Linked DNA regions of Arabidopsis thaliana. The protein of the gene in region 1 interacts with the protein of each later gene in a pairwise test. Each region holds a gene or a part of one and is shown in the gene's direction. Other genes may lie near its edges. The genes, in order: HB32, IAA29 and AT3G22660.

What was found.
Region 2: the proteins of HB32 (region 1) and IAA29 interact in binary tests that used the Arabidopsis thaliana proteins (3 or more experiments, as listed by UniProt).
Region 3: the proteins of HB32 (region 1) and AT3G22660 interact in binary tests that used the Arabidopsis thaliana proteins (3 or more experiments, as listed by UniProt).

The regions. Positions count from the first base shown.
Region 1 is NC_003070.9:5,046,122-5,049,297, forward strand, and holds HB32 (homeobox protein 32), read left to right. Parts: upstream 1-1,660; 5' UTR 1,661-1,924; coding exon 1,925-2,431; 3' UTR 2,432-2,632; downstream 2,633-3,176. Other genes in the region: AT1G14686 (ENTH/ANTH/VHS superfamily protein), read right to left, coding at 1-679. UniProt on the Arabidopsis thaliana protein: Putative transcription factor.
Region 2 is NC_003075.7:15,581,690-15,585,472, forward strand, and holds IAA29 (indole-3-acetic acid inducible 29), read left to right. Parts: upstream 1-1,642; 5' UTR 1,643-1,789; coding exon 1,790-2,049; intron 2,050-2,233; coding exon 2,234-2,562; coding exon of another isoform or gene 2,563-2,573; exon of another isoform or gene 2,574-2,667; coding exon 2,668-2,758; intron 2,759-2,863; coding exon 2,864-2,939; 3' UTR 2,940-3,209; downstream 3,210-3,783. UniProt on the Arabidopsis thaliana protein: Aux/IAA proteins are short-lived transcriptional factors that function as repressors of early auxin response genes at low auxin concentrations.
Region 3 is NC_003074.8:8,015,477-8,019,425, reverse strand, and holds AT3G22660 (rRNA processing protein-like protein), read left to right. Parts: upstream 1-1,917; 5' UTR 1,918-2,029; intron 2,030-2,307; coding exon 2,308-3,189; 3' UTR 3,190-3,375; downstream 3,376-3,949. Other genes in the region: AT3G22670 (Pentatricopeptide repeat (PPR) superfamily protein), read left to right, coding at 1-1,655; CEG (F-box and associated interaction domains-containing protein), read right to left, coding at 3,466-3,949. UniProt on the Arabidopsis thaliana protein: Required for the processing of the 27S pre-rRNA. Plays an important role in plant growth and senescence by modulating ribosome biogenesis in nucleolus. Associates with ribosomes.

The DNA.
Region 1 (3,176 bases):
AGTCTGCCTCTGTTTTACCTATCTTGGAGTGCACGTTAGGTAAAACTTCAGCAATACGACGACAAATCCAACCGTAAATCTCCATAATCTCACTAACCACATTCTCCATAGCTTCATTAATCACAGGTATCATCATGTTTTCACCAATCGGTTTGATTCTAATCAAAGAATCAACAATAATCTGCATCTTACGAATAATCACAAGTCGAATCAGAACCGATGATTCTTCGTTGTATCGATGACGATTCCCATCGTGAAACAGAATCGATCTTCGATCAAGAAACGCGAAATAAGCACGTACGAAGAGATTAAACCCACCGGATTTGCTCATAATCCGTGAATTACCTTCGCCGAAACTCGAAAGATCGAAAGGTAACCGTCCGATCGATTCTGCTACGGTTGATTTACAGAGGAAGAAGCCGTGCATTAGCATTAAGCCTTTTAAAGCAACCGCCCAGCTTCGCGTGCGTTTCACGCGAGACGAGATTAAGCTTACGAGAGGCTTGAGGCTTGACGGGCTAGAGAGAACGTGACGGTAGATGAATTGAGCGCTCTCTGTATCAATGGAGAGCTCGTCGTGGCTTGTAGCTTTCACAACGGCTGCTGTGAGAATGTCATCAGCCGCGATGAGACTAGGTCCGTCTTTGAGAACTACGGCGGCGCGTTTCCAAAGCTTCATCTTCCGACTAATGTGTGTGGTTTCAAATTGTTAGTTTCTATTTCGCGCTTTATAATTTTCATTTTAAACCGTGTTTTGTTTTCTTTGATGTCAATTCTTTGCTGGTTTAAAACGAATTAGATAAGGATAAGCTAAAATTAAGAAATCTCAGTTTTGACCAAAATAAAAAAAGATATTTTTGATGTCGTTACTAAATTATTATCTTCCATTTTTCAGTTTAACTCGATTGATTACGTAATAAGTTCATTAGATAAGTGTTGTTTGGTTGGCTTTTCTATATGTTTCGTTGATTTTGTTTTGAGGCAATTTTCTAGTGTAGTAGTGTTGTAATCGTATATAATGTATGTGGTTTGAGCAAGTCAAATTATGACTTTGTTTGTACAATATGGAAATATACATATCTTAATTATTAATGGTGTGATTGATATCGTTAAGCCGTAAAATAATCGTTTAGCTTGCTAAATTACACACAAAACATAAAGTAGGCAAATGAACATATACGATAGTGAATAGTCAACTCGTGGGTCACACAATTGCTTTTTTGCTAAACCTCTTAAAAGAAAGCGTTTCAGACTTCTTTTTGCAATAAAATCAGATTCTTTGAAAACTTTTGATCTTTGCTTCTTAATTATAGTTTCATTTTAGTTACAATATATTATTGATATTTCTCAATTTTACAAAATTAGTTTCTTAAATCTTACTTTTATAAATCAAAATACTTCTACTTATTTAGAAACATGTGACCTCTATACAATCCAAACTTATTAAATTTGTTTATACCTATATTAAAAACTTATTACTAATATATTAGTACTAGTTTACTAGTACTAATTAGCCGCTATAGTTTTACAAAAAGTGGTTTAGTTTTCTTATTCCTCATTATTGCTACTACACTTAACCCAATGGATTGAAAGAGTTAACTATGGGTAGAGATGACAACTTTATGAGCTGAGAGGATACGAAATTATGGATGTGTAGAAAAGCAAAGCCAGTGAAACAGTTCAAAAAGTGGGTTTTTCACATTTATTATGACAACTAATAAACACGTAAGTACAAAATCTTAAAGCAAGTAAGTAACAATAATTTTTGCTCTTTTTGTAACTCCCAACTCTTTCTGACACAAAAAAACACCATATCATAACTTAAGTAACCCAAAACCAAACTCTTCCAAAACAAACCCTAAACGCAAAAATCATTACTCAAAAAAAAACAAAGTCTCTCTCTTCTAATTAGAGAGCCAAGAAGATGCAGAGTACTTGTGTCTACAGAGAATGCATGCGCAACCACGCCGCGAAGCTCGGCTCTTACGCCATCGATGGCTGCCGTGAATACTCTCAACCATCCACCGGCGATCTCTGCGTCGCCTGTGGTTGCCACCGCAGCTACCACCGTCGTATAGACGTCATATCTTCTCCTCAAATCAATCACACGCGCTTCCCGTTCACGAGCTTAAGGCGCGTGAAGCAGCTGGCGAGGCTGAAATGGAAAACGGCTGAGGAAAGAAATGAGGAGGAGGAGGATGACACGGAGGAGACTTCGACGGAAGAGAAGATGACGGTGCAGAGGCGGAGGAAGTCAAAGTTCACGGCGGAGCAGAGAGAGGCGATGAAAGATTACGCGGCGAAGTTGGGATGGACGTTGAAGGATAAGAGAGCGCTTAGAGAAGAGATAAGAGTCTTCTGTGAAGGGATTGGTGTTACTCGTTATCATTTTAAAACTTGGGTTAACAATAATAAAAAGTTTTATCACTAACTAATTAACTAATATCCTTAATTGAGATAATACTATAATTTAGTTCCAATTTCATTTTCATCCCTTCTGTGTTAATTTCTCCTCCTTGATCGCTTATTTTAATGGATTATTATTTTATCATTAGTGGGTTTAATGTGTTTGATTTGGACATGTCCTTAATTACTAACTGGTTCACTCTTTAATTGGTCTTTATGATTCTTCTTTTTACGTCGGTGGGATTTGAGTTTTGACAAGACAACTAGCTGACGTTTTATTTATGGTCAATACTGTTCGCCAATCAGAATATTTATACGTAATAATATTGAAGTAGTTGAATAGTAGTACTAATTATTATGGGAAAGGATGGCAAAATGACATTTTGTTTTGATAGAAAATTGTAAAGATTACATATCTAATTCTAAAATTTGTAAATAATTAATGGTAAGATATATTTCACGTAATGAAAAGACAATTAGTTACGGAAATAACACAACATTGTGTTTTTTCGAGGTTTGTTACTAAAAATTATAATGACATCATCAAAGCCAATAAAAGCTGTTATGCTTTTTTTTGTAGAAATAGTCATTTCAAAAATAATTTTTATACTTTTTGCTTTTTTATAAAGTCGTAAAACCATATACTTAAAAGTATATACCAATAAAATTGTGAACTAATTGATTCATAAAATTGTAACTTTGCTACCATTATACCAAGCATCCCATTCCCACGAAAGTTTCAACTTTAATTGGGCTTTTGTTGGCATTTC
Region 2 (3,783 bases), on another chromosome or scaffold:
AAACACTGGTTTTAATAAAATCATATGTCGGCAATTCAACCTGTTACGTTGTATGATTGTATCCTAGTCAAATAGGGGAGGAGGTACTAGTCGTTTCAATTAGTTTACGTAATCAATCCAAAGAAACTATAAGCTATAAAGATCCTCAATTTGTTGGTTACAATAAAAACAACAGTTGTCAAAATTTATGTTTATAAAAAGTAATAACTATGTTCCTTCCCATATAGAGCAAAGTACCTCAGGATAGGCAAACCGTACTTAATAGCCCTTATTCATAATTTGATCCAACTCTTCCCCACAAAATTGCAACTGATGAAGTCAATACTTGTATAGTGAGTCAAGCTATAAATGTCTAGTGATAGTTTTGTCTCTTAAAAGGTTAACAAAAGTTATGACAAGCTGAAAAATCAGAGTTTGCTAGGAGTATTACTTACAGTTATCAGTTTAAGTATCACATTTATAGTATTGTATACAATGATTCTTAAATTCCACCTTTTCCGTGCGAAACCAAATTTTCTATTGGAAACATAGAATGTAAACAAAAATATGGGACGTTGTCCGTTCCAACATTAACCAAACTTGTCTATTACTAATATTCGTGTTGGTTTGATGTTGGATGTCTAAATTCGTTGAATCATGTGTCTCTTGACGAAATATGCATCTTCTTATTTCTTAGTATAGATGCACTTTATCATTCTTTTAGTACATGCTTAATTTTTTTTTTTAAAATATGTTGATTGTCATATTGCCAAAAGTATGAATTAAAGACGCACATCTAACACAAGTTAGCAGCCGTAAATCCTTCCATAAATTTATTTTGCAAGTTTTGCTCATTATATAATGAGCGGAATTTATGATATAATCGTTTGTAATAATGTTATGTTTTGATCAAAATTTGAAATTAAAAGTAGGTGAGAACTTGTTATACAGTGTAGATAAGGTGGATCTTGAATATAAAAATAAAATTTATAAGATGTATTTAAAGCAGAAAAGCATAAAACTTTAGATAAAATAATGTAAAAATGTGTTAGCATCAATGTTGGGATATTGGCCGACCCGAACTTAATCAATGTCGGAAGCCATTACTTCTCTCCCAAAAGACCTTTTTCCTTCGGAGAACTAGGAACTTCCTCACTACCTTTCGCTTAACGTGAAAGCCATAAATTTCATATATTCATAAAAATCAGAAAATCTAAAACTGTTTAGTATCACCTGTTTTTGGTATAGACTATTGGTTTTGTGTTACTTCCTAAACTATATGATTTCGTACTTCATTGGATCTTATAGAGATGAATATTCGTAAAAAGATAAGTTATCTGGTGAAACGTTACTTCAGTCATGTTGGGTCTAGATTTACATACTACTATGAAACATTTTAAGATAATAATTATCCTAGCCAACTATATGTTCTATATTATGGGCCAAGAAGATATAGAACTAAAAGTTCAGAATTTAACGATATAAATTACTAGTATATTCTAATACTTGAATGATTACTGTTTTAGTTGTTTAGAATAAATAGTAGCGTGTTGGTTAAGATACCATCTATCCACATCTATATTTGTGTGGGTTACATAAAATGTACATAATATTATATACATATATATGTATATTTTTGATAAAGCCATATATTACTCCTTGACCTCTGCCCCCATTTCCTTTTACTATAAATAGGAATACTCATGATCCTCTAATTCAGCAATCAACACCAACGAACACAACCTTTTCCAAAGCCAATAATAAAAGAACAAAAGCTTTTAGTTTCATCAAAGACGAAGCTGCCTTAGAAATGGAGTTGGATCTTGGTCTATCTCTTTCACCTCATAAATCTTCCAAGTTAGGGTTTAACTTTGACCTCAACAAGCATTGTGCGATCGAGGGTGCTGCGTCTTGTTTGGGTACCGAAAAACTGCGTTTTGAGGCGACGTTTGGGTTAGGGAATGTGGAGGAAAATTGTTATATGCCAAAACAGCGTTTGTTTGCCTTGAATGGCCAGCCCAACGAGGAAGACGAAGATCCTCTGGAATCCGAGTCTTCAATAGTTTACGAGTGAGTACCTTGACTATTTTAGTATTTGACAACAATTAGGTTAAAGTAGTTACATCTAGTATTATTATATAATAAATGACTCCGTAGTTTTCAAAAATGTTATGATGTTGTAGACTTGTAGTTAACTCAATGGAGAGGCATAATTTGTATTTTTTTGTAACATATAATTAATTTTAATATTTAGTGATGAGGAGGAAAATAGCGAAGTTGTTGGATGGCCACCAGTAAAAACATGTATGATAAAGTATGGTAGTTATCATCATCGTCATATTCGTAATCACCATCATTGCCCGTATCATCATCGTGGTAGGAGGATCACGGCGATGAACAACAACATATCTAATCCAACAACGGCTACTGTGGGATCATCATCTTCTTCGTCAATATCATCAAGATCATCAATGTATGTTAAGGTTAAGATGGATGGTGTGGCAATAGCAAGAAAAGTGGATATCAAGCTTTTTAACTCTTACGAGTCCCTCACTAACTCCTTGATCACTATGTTTACCGAATGTAAGTACTAATTACGTTTATCAAAATCTAGAGTAAGAAACCTATAAACAATTGAAAATAGAACGTAACTTTTTACTACTATTGAATCTAATTTTGGGTTATCAGATGAAGATTGCGACAGAGAAGATACAAATTATACATTCACCTTCCAAGGGAAAGAGGGTGACTGGCTACTTCGAGGGGATGTTACATGGAAGTAAGTTTACTTCTCTATATTTCAAGAAAAATGACTTATTGAGTAATGACTACTATACTCTCTTTCTTATATATTGATACTTAACTTGTTGTTTTGGTTTTGTAGGATCTTTGCGGAATCTGTTCATCGGATATCAATAATTAGAGATCGACCGTGTGCATATACAAGATGTTTGTTTTAAGGATAGGCGTTCAAATCGGACCATTATTTTTTATTTTGTAATTAAAATGTCTATCATTTGATTAAATTTCCACTCGATCTTTTTCCTCTATTCTTCTAGTTCTTAGTATCAAATCCAATGGTTTATAATCTGTTGTTATCTGATCCATGGCTAACACATGGACAAAAAGCTAAAGAAAATTCAAAAGTAAAAAAAACTCATGAATTGTCAAAGACAGACTAGCTGATAATAATTAAGATGTTAGACTTTTTGTGTGTACCGAATTGATTTTTTTTTCATAGACTTGTTTGATTGAGAAACCATAAGAATGTAATGGTTGCGGACGTCCGGGTTTTACACAAGTAAGTATGTCACTTTATGTGATTCAAGAGATTTCCAAGTAATTAAATTTTGGTTTGAATTAGATCGGAGTACGATTTTAAATTGTGAGTAAACAAGGGGAAAAAAAAAAGCATGAGTAAACAGAAAAAAAATGACATAAAAACTGATACATTTCTTAAACAATTTAATTAGCTGAATAGCTGATAACAAAATTTAAAATGAATATTATTGATCTTAGCTTAAAATGCGTAATTTAGATTAAAATATTAATCAATAATGAATGATATATAAGAAAATCTTTTATTAAAATGGTTATTATATTTACAATTTGCATAAAATTATATCATAAGTTTATAATCTTTAAATTAAATAATATGACAAACATAATCTTTATATAAGGAAAATAGATATTTTAGTGAAATTTAGAGAAACACAACTTTAGATCTACTAAAGTTATGAATGAAACAATCAAACAACTGTAAAAAGATCCCTACAAAAATTGAAAATTATTTAATTACCAAAC
Region 3 (3,949 bases), on another chromosome or scaffold:
CGTATACTTTACCTCGGAGAATCTTCCAACGGAGGTTTCTGGTAACGAATAACACTGCAGAGGAGTCGCCGATTGTTGCCGCAGAGTCACCGGAGCTACCGTCTTGGATTAAAGACTTTCTATCAAACAAGCCTTCTTCTTCATCGAGTTCGGTTTCCAAAGATGATGAAGATTTTGTTATCCCTTCTTTGGCGAATTGGGTCGAGAGCCAGAAGTTTAGTCGTCAACAAGTCTCAGAGGGAAATGTAGTGAAGAAACCAGTGGAAGATATTGATAAAGTTTGCGACTTTTTGAATAAGAAGGACACGTCTCATGAGGATGTTGTTAAAGAGTTGAGTAAATGCGATGTGGTGGTTACAGAGAGTTTGGTTTTGCAAGTTCTAAGAAGGTTTAGTAATGGTTGGAATCAAGCTTACGGGTTTTTCATTTGGGCAAATTCACAAACAGGTTATGTGCATTCAGGTCATACTTATAATGCAATGGTTGATGTGTTGGGGAAATGTAGGAATTTTGATTTGATGTGGGAATTAGTCAATGAGATGAACAAGAATGAAGAATCTAAGCTTGTTACGCTTGATACGATGAGTAAGGTTATGAGGAGATTGGCCAAGTCAGGGAAATATAATAAAGCTGTTGATGCTTTTTTAGAGATGGAGAAGAGTTATGGTGTGAAAACAGATACTATTGCTATGAACAGTTTGATGGATGCACTTGTGAAAGAGAATAGTATAGAGCATGCTCATGAAGTTTTTCTGAAGCTTTTCGATACAATCAAGCCGGATGCGCGGACATTCAACATTTTGATTCACGGTTTTTGTAAAGCTCGGAAATTTGATGATGCTAGAGCGATGATGGATTTGATGAAGGTTACTGAGTTCACTCCTGATGTTGTTACTTACACTAGCTTTGTGGAAGCTTATTGCAAGGAAGGGGATTTTAGGAGGGTTAATGAAATGTTGGAAGAGATGCGAGAGAATGGGTGTAATCCTAATGTTGTGACTTATACTATTGTGATGCATTCTTTGGGTAAATCTAAACAAGTAGCTGAAGCTTTAGGAGTGTATGAGAAGATGAAAGAAGATGGTTGTGTTCCTGATGCTAAGTTTTATAGCTCATTGATACATATTTTGTCGAAGACTGGTAGGTTTAAGGATGCAGCTGAGATATTTGAGGACATGACGAATCAAGGAGTTCGTCGTGATGTTTTAGTCTACAATACCATGATTTCCGCTGCGCTTCATCACTCACGAGATGAGATGGCTCTACGTTTGCTTAAAAGGATGGAGGATGAGGAGGGGGAATCATGTAGTCCAAACGTTGAGACTTATGCTCCATTGTTGAAGATGTGTTGCCATAAGAAGAAAATGAAGCTACTTGGAATATTATTGCATCACATGGTGAAAAACGATGTTAGTATCGATGTTTCGACATATATTCTTCTCATTAGAGGGTTATGTATGAGCGGGAAAGTTGAAGAAGCTTGCTTGTTCTTTGAGGAAGCAGTACGAAAAGGAATGGTTCCTAGAGATAGCACTTGCAAAATGTTGGTAGATGAGCTTGAGAAGAAAAATATGGCAGAAGCAAAACTCAAGATTCAGAGTTTGGTTCAATCGAAAACAATGATTGATTCTCACAGTCCTTTATCTGTTTCGTAGAGATTAGAGTTTTGGAGCCTTGGCTCAAAGTTTTGTTTTCCTTTCTGTTGAATGATACTCTTATACTATGTTAGATCTCAAATCATGTGACCTTTACTAAAATGAAATGAATCAATTTGTCACAAGTTTTCATGTCTTAGATCCGGTTTATAAATAGTAACGGGAACCAATTGAGCGATAATTTGAACCCGGTATGATCCGGTTTTGTGAGATTTCCGGTTTAGTATAAAGCAGAAAAGGGTTTTACAAAGTCGAAGCCTTTAAAACTAAGTTTCTTCTTCTTCTTCCTTGCGCCGGCGGGTTCACTATCTCTCTTCTCTCTCTCAAAAACCCTACTCAAGCACAAGCTTCTTCAATCTTCTCCGTAATCAACAGTAAGTTTTCTTCTATTCCTTCTCAAAGGGTTTGTGTCAATAGAATGATAAACCCTAATTTTGTTCATGGTTATAATCTTAAGTCCTTAGATAAAGTATCGAACTTTATTGTCATATAGAAGGTAACGGAACCAGTTATGGAATCTCTCTTTGCGTTGGTGACTTATAAACCCTAGTTTCTGTGATTCGCCAAGTTTTTTTTTTACCCAAAGGTATAAAAGTCTGAACTTTTTTGATTCTGAATCTAATTTTGTTTGTTGTTATCGAATTTTGAGTAGATGTCATTGGAAGAGGATATAGTATCAGATGATGAGATGAACATGATTGATGAGGATGATGCTACTGACTCCGAAGCGGAGTCTCTTTCGGATTCGGATACAGAGAACGAGATCACCGAGAAATTGGCTGAGCCTACGAAGACTGCGATATACAACAGAGATGGGTTGCTTGATAAGCTTCAAGATATTAGCTGGCCTGAAGATGTTGATTGGACTCATAAGCTTACTGTTGAGATTGACCAGGGAGGAGCTGTGGATGTAAACGATGACCTTGCGAGAGAGACGGCGTTCTACACTCAAGCGCTTGAAGGGACAAGAGAAGCGTTTGGTAAACTCAATGAAATGGGTGTGAATTTTCTCAGGCCTGCGAATTACTATGCGGAGATGGTGAAATCGGATGTTCATATGGAGAAAGTGAAGTCTCGGCTTTTGCATGAGAAGAAACAGATTGAGGAGTCTGAAGAGAGGAGGAAGGCTAGGGATAATAAGAGAATGGCTAAGGAAGTACAGTCTCAGAAGATGAAGGAACGTGCGAAGGAGAAGAAGGATAACATTGAGTCTGTGAAGAAGTGGAGGAAACAGAGGCAGCAGAGTGGGTTTAGTGATAAAGCTGGTGAGCCTGAACTTGATTTCGAAAGTGGAAAGAGTTTCCAGAGAGGAGGAGGTAAGAAAAGACCAGGTGTGTCTCCCGGAGATCGATCAGGAGGTAAAGGAAGGCCTACTTCGAGGATGGGCAACAAGAAGAGGGAGTTTCGGGATTCCAAGTTTGGTCATGGTGGTAGGAAGGGTTTGAGCAAGCAGAACACAGCAGAGACGACAAACGATTTCAAAGGCGGTTTCCGTGGTGGAAAAGCTAGCGGAAACAAGAGGCAGAAGAGGTAAAAGGTTTGATTATCTAAACCCACTTCAAAACTACTATAAACTATTTGTCTTCTTTGTTTTTTTTAAGAACATGTATTTTGTTTTGGAAACCCTGTGGTAAGGGTCTTAGAACCAATACAATTTTGTACTAGTGATTACTTGAATTAACAAAGTCCCTTGTTTGAAGTCTCATAGTTAACACTTGAAGTTGAAACTTTATATGATAGAAATACAACAAAACAAAGCTTAGAGCATACAAAAAAAAAATCCTGAAACCAGTAGCAACCCTAGGAAGTTTTATTCTGGAACTGGAACCAGACTTGGAACATATGCATAACCGCAAACAAAAGGCCTATTATCACTACACAAATCACATCGTCCTGCATCAATTTGTTTCTTCACTATTCCATCTTTACTAATCATGCAAACGCTAACGCAAACATCATCATCGGTTTCCTCTTCGGTCTCTTGCTCACACCATACCATGATATTATCGTTCTTGTCAATGAAATAACTTGGATGAGTGAGATGTTGATCAGTATGTAATGTCGGGAGATCAGGGCTAGTCACGTCTACGTACTTGGTCCATGAGACTACCTCATCGCTCAATTTGTTTGTGATCCAAACTTCGATCTTCATTGTTTCTCCACTTTGATGTAACAAAGAAAGCCTATCTCCTCTTAAACTCGATAAGGCTGCCGTGTCTAATACATTACATTCGAATGGAAGATTGCAAACGATTTTGAATGTCTCTGTGGAGAAATCAAAACTCTGGATGAAA